Linked DNA regions of Lonchura striata. The protein of the gene in region 1 purifies or fractionates together with the protein of each later gene. This does not show direct contact. Links are inferred from orthologs where the notes say so. Each region holds a gene or a part of one and is shown in the gene's direction. Other genes may lie near its edges. The genes, in order: WDR20 and PHLPP2.

Region 1 (3,909 bases):
GGGCTGTGCAGGGGGGCTGTGCAGGGAGGCTGGGGCAGGAGGGCTGTGCAGGGGGCTGTGCAGGGGGCTGGGGCAGGAGGGCTGTGCAGGGGGCTGGGGCAGGAAGGCTGTGCAGGGGGCTGTGCAGGGAGGCTGTGCAGGGGGCTGTGCAGGGGGCTGGGGCAGGAAGGCTGTGCAGGGGGGCTGTGCAGGGGGGCTGTGCAGGGGGGCTGTGCAGGGGGCTGTGCAGGGAGGCTGGAGCAGGAAGGCTGTGCAGGAGGGCTGTGCAGGGGGCTGTGCAGGGGGCTGTGCAGGGGGCTGGGGCAGGAAGGCTGTGCAGGAGGGCTGTGCAGGGGGCTGTGCAGGGAGGCTGGGGCAGGGGGGCTGTGCAGGGGGCTGGGGCAGGAAGGCTGTGCAGGGGGCTGGGGCAGGAAGGCTGTGCAGGGGGCTGTGCAGGGGGGCTGTGCAGGGGGCTGTGCAGGGGGGCTGGGGCAGGGGCTGTGCAGGGGGCTGGGGCAGGAAGGCTGTGCAGGGGGCTGGGGCAGGAAGGCTGTGCAGGGGGCTGTGCAGGGGGCTGGGGCAGGAAGGCTGTGCAGGGGGCTGTGCAGGGGGCTGGGGCAGGAAGGCTGTGCAGGGGGCTGTGCAGGAAGGCTGTGCAGGGGGCTGTGCGCGGTGTCCCCCGCCGGGCCCCTCGGGCACGCCGCCGCTCCCGCCCGAGGCCCCGCCCACTCACAGCCCCCGCCCCTTTCCCCGCCCCCGGCGCGCGGGCCCGGCGCGCGCGCAGTCGCGCGGTAAACAGGCCCCGCCGGCCCCGCCTCCTCGCGTCGCCCCCGCGCGCAGGGGCCGCGCGCGCGCCGGCGGCTGCGCAGTGTCGGCACATCCGGGCACTGGGGCAGGATGAGCGCTCCTTTCCAAGATGGCGGCGGAGGGAGGTGGGAAGGAGATGAACGAGATTAAGACCCAGTTCACCACCCGGGAGGGGCTGTACAAGCTGCTGAGCCACTCGGAGTACAGCCGGCCTAACCGCGTGCCCTTCAACTCGCAGGGCTCCAACCCCGTCCGCGTCTCCTTCGTCAACGTCAACGACCAGAGCGGCAACGGGGACCGGCTCTGCTTCAATGTGGGCCGGGAGCTCTACTTCTACATCTACAAGGGGGTCCGCAAGGTACCGGGGCTCCCCCGCCGGGCTGGGGCGGGGAGCGGCGGGGCTCCGCGCCGCCCGCCCGCCGGGGTGCGGGCCGCGCCGGGGGCGGGGGCGCGGGGCCGGGCTGCGCCTCGCTCGCTGTCCCCACTCCCCGCGGGGCCGGCGGCTCCTCGGCTCCGGCCGAGCTCCGCTCAGCCAGCTGGCGGCTGGGCGGGGGAGAGCGGGCCTGCGGCGAGGGCGGTGTGAGGGCATCGGCGGCGGGCCGGTGCTCGGGGCTGCTCCACATACGGTGTCACCGACGGGAGCCGTGTGTGTGGGCCCTGTGCAGGGATGCGATCGCTTGGGCGCTCCTCGTGCGGGAATCAGGGTTGGCTTTCCCTCCCTCGGCCTCCGTCACCTGCTGCTTCAGGTCAGAATTTGCTGGACACGCTAATGCCTGTCGTGATTATGGTGGTGTCAAATCCCTGCTTCCAGGCTCTTCCTAGCTTTGGCTGCACGTCTGAAGCATTCGGTGCAGTTTTAGGCCTTTGTTATGACTTAGAAGTGTGGGTTGGTTTTAGAATTATTCCTAAATGGGAGTGGTGTAGTGAGATGAGTCTTAAATATCAGATAATTGACAGAGAGAAAGTTGCTTTTGCAGGATAAAAAGATTGATGTACTTGAGAGAGACACTTCTTGCTTGTCATTATTGGATGCAGTACAGTGCATGCATTTGATCTCTCAGGTCACCATATTTATGAACAAACCCTTCTCTCAAACAGGATTGAGAGAACAATTCGGAATTTGCTGTGCTAGGTGAACCCACGTCACTCCTAATAGATATAAACACATATATAATGAATGTCAGTTTTCTGCTTTGTCTCAGATAGTGGGTGTTCGTTATTTTACATGCTTGGGTCTCAGTTGCCATCATGTGATCGCCTTGAAATCTTCCTGCTTTTAGCTCACCATTCAGCATGGGATGAGGGCACGGAGAGCTAGAGACTCACACGAGGCTGTGCAGGAAGCTCGTGGATGAGCAAGGGATTATACCTGAATCTGCTGTGTCCTAGGGGAGTGCCCCCAGCACTCCTCCTTTCTATAAAATGTCGGCAGCAGCAGGAGTTTAAAGTCTACATGGTTGTTTGTTAGACTGTGACCTAACAGATCTGATATGTCTTGTATAATTATATGTGAAAGTGTGTGTGTGTATTTAGTTTCACCTTTTAATGAATTTTAATAATCTAGGTATGTTTCAAATAATGCTTGGACAATGGCTTCTTTAAGGATACAAGGAGTATTTAGTATCAAACAGTATTCCCTACTTACAACCAGTTGCTGTCTTTACAAGGTATCCTGAGGAGCAGTATCTCTGAAAATCTACATCCTAAATTGTTGCCATGTTTGGGTCCTGCTGTTTGTTTTTTCCATGCAAAGTAGCTGCAGAGTTCTCTGAGCTCACAGAGCAGGCCTTTATGTAGTTTAGTAATGGTACATGTGATTCTTGCAAGTTCTCTTAGTCATCTCTTGCCACACTTCTGACAAATAAAAATCTAAAGGCTGGAACTTAGTTGACAATAAGGAATAGAATAATTATAGTTATATCAAATTACAAAAGTCTTCTTGAACTGGGTATTTAGATATTTGGTATTTAGATTTTTTAGATGCTAAAAGCTACTGGTATGGTATGCAGTAACTGAGAAATTTGAGTTTGTGAACTCATGAGCTCTGGAGGCATCTGTACCTGTGACAGTGTGAAATACTTTTTTCTCTGAATAGAGTGAAACATAGACATTGTTAGGACAGAATTAATCTCAATGACCTTTTACAGTATTAACTATGTAAAACAATACTGTATATTCTATATGTATAATACTTTGGTAAAGTGAACCTAAAGAAAGAGCTGAAATAGATTGACTCACTTTAAGGAAAATGCTTTAAATGAGAATGAGAAGATGGTCTGATTTAAATCTGCAATACTTGCTGCTTTGGAATTTATTTTGGAACTTCAGTTGGAAGTAACTGTTTTGTCTGTGTATGAAAGTGAATCAGGAACAGGCTGACAGCCTGTCAACTGATCGTGTGAACTTTTCAGAATCAAAAGTTCTATCTTGTGGCTGTCATAAAAGGGAGAGAGCTATTGTTACTTAAATGGACACGATGTAATTCTGCCTTAAACTGGGCAGACTATCACATTTTGTGTTCCTTCCTGTTCCTGGGATGAGGATGGGGAAAGGGATTTGATCTGTTTAAAACCCAGCTATTTGTGCTCCTTGGCGTAATACAGGTGCTGATAACTTCAGTTTTACCTGTTAGTTCATAATTATTTATGTATTCCTTAAAAATTTTCCCTGATTACTTTTAAGATCGTGATTTTCATTCTGACTAAGTCATATTGGAATATTGAGTTGAATTTAATGACGCTGTGCTGTGTGAATATATCAACTGTGATTTTGTCTTTTTTTTTTCTTGTTTTTTCCTTTTTTTTTTTAAGATTATTTTAAGACCTCTTTTCTTGATAGGAAAATGTTACATTTTTCCTAAAATGAGCAAAAGAACCACGAGGACTGTATTTTAAGTGGCTGTGTCTGTTTGGTACTGAGATAATTCTTGCATCAGTAATCCATTGCAGATCAGTACACATTAAGGAAGAGCAACACTTAAGCCACGAATGACACTGAAAAATAAATAACCTAATATTGAGTCACAGATACCACTTGGAAGGCTATTTCGTGACATCAATAATGCTAATTTTTCTTCTTTTAGTTTCCCTTAAATGCTTTGTGTCTGCTATATCTGGTTTGTAA
Region 2 (3,909 bases), on another chromosome or scaffold:
AATGTTTGGCCATGGCAATGTGAGATGATGCAAAATAACATGGCCATGTTTTGAAAAAACTTTACAGGAAATTTTGGAGACTAAGATGAGTGGACAGTTGCAAAACACTTGAGTAGTTCCTGTGGAATACCATCCTGAGAGAGAGCATGTTAGTTACAAGCAGCAATGTTTGTCCAGGTGCTAGAAAGGCATGGTGGGATCTGAACACAAGTAATGTGTTTGGAGCCTGCTCTAGGAGCTTGTTAAAAGACCCCTTTCATACTCCATGTGACTCTTGGACAAGGATTGTCACCATATCTCTCTCACCACATGTGTCTGCTTTGTGTTTTAGTCACAGTCACATTTCACTAGATGACCTTTCACGTCTTTTCAAACGTGTAATTTCACTGCGGGGAAGGTGGGAGGCTTTTTTTAATGTTCTTGATCCTTGAGGGAGAAGCAGTGGCTGCCCTAAAACATGCTCAAATTCTTGCAAACTGTCATGATGATGTCATTGGTAGATGATGACGTCACTAGTAGTTAATGACATTATTAGTAGCAGACACTAGTTAAGACTGGCAGAGCTTAGGAGATGGACCTGCAGGGCAGCAGGAGCACGGTGCTGTTCGGCTGCTGAGCAGCGTACCTCAGCTGCGGGGTGCCGATGGTGACACACGCTGGAGCTGTGCGGAGGGCGAGCGGCGACAGGTGCGTTTGCAGCGTTCGCGTGAGCTTTGCCTTCTCCTCGCCCGGCTGGCGAGCGGCTCACACTCGTACCGCCCGCTGGTGCAAGACGCGGACACGGGCCCGGTGCTCGCTGCCCCGCCGGTGCCGCCGGGGCGGGGCCTGCGCCGGACGGGCCGCGCGCTTCCGGGGCGGGCCGCGGAGGCCCGGGGTGCCGGCCTGGCCGGTGATGGGGGAGGCCGGGCCGGGTGCCGGGCTGGGGCCCAGGGCTGCGCAGGAGCCCGAGGAGGACGAGGCGGCCGCGCCGGGCGCCACACGAGGGTGCCGGGCCGGATCCCGCGGCGGCATCCGGGTGCTGAAGGTGAGGAGGAGACCGAGGCCTCCCCCGCTCCGGGCGGCTCGGTGGGGGGAGTGGGAGTCGGCTGCGGCACGTCGGGCACACTTGCCCGCTGCGACCGTGGTCTTTCCCATGCCAGTGGCTGCCGCTTGTGCGGAGTTGCGGAGCGGGCCGGTGCGGGCCGGGTCGGAGCGGCCGCAGGCGCTGCTGACGCTCAGGTCTGGGCTGCCTTGCAGAGGAACGCCAAGCGCACCGGGAGCAGGAGCTGCCAGAGCAGCAGTCGGGTTGGTTCCCGTGAGAGGACCTGGCTGAAAGGGGATGTTCGACGAGGCTGCGTGTATGTTTATGGGAGAGACTCAGCAGCTGCGGCTCCTTCGGACTTGCACCTGGTCCTCTGCACAGTGGACACCCAAGCCGCGGAGATCTGTGACAGAGAAGGGAGGAAAAACCTCTTTTTGCAGCTTCATGGAGACCTGGTCAGGTGAGGGCTGAGAAAGGATAAACCTGACTACAAAATGTTTTGTATAGTTTTGCGAGCCTCTGTTCACCATGTCCCTATGCCTGTTGTGAGGGTGGGTAGGGAGCAGGTAGAGGTAGTAGCTGGCAGTCAGGTACAGCCTTAAGTCATGCACTTCATAAAAATTAGGTAGTGGTGAAATAGAAGTTACACACCTCGTAGTTATGTGTTTTAACAGGGAGAGTTTGGCTATTGCTCCAACCAGAAATATGTCCTCATTTTCTGAGTAGAGGCACCTGTTCATATATTTCTTTAGTATGTTCTGTGTTATGGGGATTTTAGCATCTGGACAACCTCATCTATTTAAGAGGCTGTAAACAGTTACTTTGAGTCAGCAAAAGCAGTAAGGTGCTTTCGCAATTATGTCATTTCATATTTACATGTGAGTAATTTTTTTTTTGCTGAGAAGAGTTGTCAGCTAAGTAATTAAAGGCAGATAGAAATTGTAGCAAGGGTTATATAAAGAAGGTTTAAGCATCAGATGCTACGTTTTATGCCGGAAGTCAATTTAGGCTGAAAATAGATGGCTCAGGGTTGTATGTGTGCGAACTTTGTGCTGTGACTGTGTTATGGACTCATCTTGGTTTAGAAGCTCCCATTCAGTTTGTTAGGATTTAAACTTTGCACTGATTCTTCCAGACTTAAGATGCAGTTATAAAATTGCCACTCCTGTTCTCAGAGGCAAATGATTGCTGCAGTCTCCTTACTTAAAGGTTGGACAGAGGTAGTAGCTGGATTTTGGATAGTGAAATGAAGGTTACAGGTCTCATGTGTCCAAATCTTAAAACTGTGATGTATGTTTGCTCTGCAGTGGGGTGGTAATGCTAGTGGTGGGAGATGCAGAGAGAACAGGACGTGTTCAAAACTGACTCTTAGAAAAGATTATTTACAACCATTTGCTTTACCCTGGTCAGGGTTACAGGAATTAGGGATGGATTAGTTAGAAACACTGTATGAGAACAGATGGACACTTGAACACTGCCACTGAGGCAGCTGAAAACCTCTGTTGCTTGAAAAATTTGTAAGGGAGTTGGCATATTTTGGACCCTAATAGCGAGCAGATTTTCCAGCAATTTTTAAGGAAGAGCAGAGCCATTTGTGCAGATCATGAAAAAATTAGGTAAAGCTTGTAGATGTTTTCAGAGAGATACATTTTGACTTTATTTAGCTTTTGAAGTGGCTTTTGCATTTGAATTCTTTTCAACCTCTCTTTTCTTATGCTAGCTAGCTGTGCCTGTCTTTGATTTGTGGTAGATTTTGCACTAGATTAGCAAATTGGATCTTCTGTTAGCCTTTTGGAAGCAAGTACTGAGCTGTAAATTATTACTTCCCACTCCTTTTGCCTCTTGGTATGTTTAGGACTTGGCCAATATTTTTCATAAGTTTTGTGAAGAGTTCTTGGTTATGATGTGTCTGTTCCTGGTAATTTTCAGAGTGTGTTTGTCACAGAAGAGATCCTTGAAATACTTCCCACTGGAGTTTTTCTTGGTAGAGAAGTGGGAGTTACCAGTATTGCTTCAGTAACACCTGTGTTAGTAGCAGGAAGCAGGCCAGAGTGGTATCTACTTGTATGTCCATGGGAAGATGATAGAGTGCTCAAGATTATCCTCATGCCCTATTGAGATAATTCCTTCCTCAAACAAACTTTACCAATTACTTTAATAATATGCTCACTATACAAATTACTTTGTTAAATATCTGATCACATATTACCATAACTACGTGCCTCTCTCAGACAGCTTCTGAATTCTTCGCCCTTTTAATATCAGCAGGTGACTTTCTTTCCAGAGCATGGCAGACATTAGTTTGAAACCTGACTTGGAAGACTGAAAGCTGTATGGAAGAATAGCATAAGCTCTTTTATGTATTCAGTCTAAATATTCAACAATATGCTTGTGATCATTCTGTTTCCTTTTCAATTAAGTTTCTGACTTCAAGTCAGTTTCTGTAAGAACTTTTTCTCCACAATGCACCTCATGGATCTTTAACTTTCTGCTAGGCAGAATCTTTCTTTATGCTTGTATCCCTTCATATCCAGAAGTTGTATCTTCCTGAGGGAAGGGTTAGACAAGAATTGCACAGCTACCTTCTTTGCTCTGAATACCACTTACAACAAAAATTTAAGCTTCCAAGATTTGAAAACTTGACCCTTACTTATGGAGAGCTACAGTTACAACAAGAATGAAACTGAAACTGTTGCTCCTTCTCTTTGTCTTTTCTGTCTCCTTAAGGCTTTGCGCCTGTGCTCCAGAGAGCTTCTGTGAGCAGAGGAAGTATTCAGTCCCTGATGTGTGATACTACTGAGGATGTGGTGGGCTGTTTGAGCCAGATCGCAGCTGCTGTGACAGCTGTGTGTTCTCACATGTGCCAGTGTTCAGAACTCATTGTGTTT

Evidence for each region.
Region 2: the proteins of WDR20 (region 1) and PHLPP2 purify together in Homo sapiens (affinity purification with mass spectrometry; 4 studies listed by BioGRID and IntAct, with this or other methods). This does not show direct contact. The link is inferred for Lonchura striata from reciprocal best matches to the Homo sapiens genes WDR20 and PHLPP2.

The regions. Positions count from the first base shown.
Region 1 is NC_134608.1:11,010,783-11,014,691, reverse strand, and holds the start of WDR20 (WD repeat-containing protein 20), read left to right. Parts: upstream 1-852; 5' UTR 853-895; coding exon 896-1,144; intron 1,145-3,909. UniProt on the Homo sapiens protein: Regulator of deubiquitinating complexes. Activates deubiquitinating activity of complexes containing USP12. Anchors at the base of the ubiquitin-contacting loop of USP12 and remotely modulates the catalytic center of the enzyme.
Region 2 is NC_134615.1:23,822,671-23,826,579, forward strand, and holds the start of PHLPP2 (PH domain leucine-rich repeat-containing protein phosphatase 2), read left to right. Parts: upstream 1-875; 5' UTR 876-892; coding exon 893-1,024; intron 1,025-1,236; coding exon 1,237-1,481; intron 1,482-3,909. UniProt on the Homo sapiens protein: Protein phosphatase involved in regulation of Akt and PKC signaling.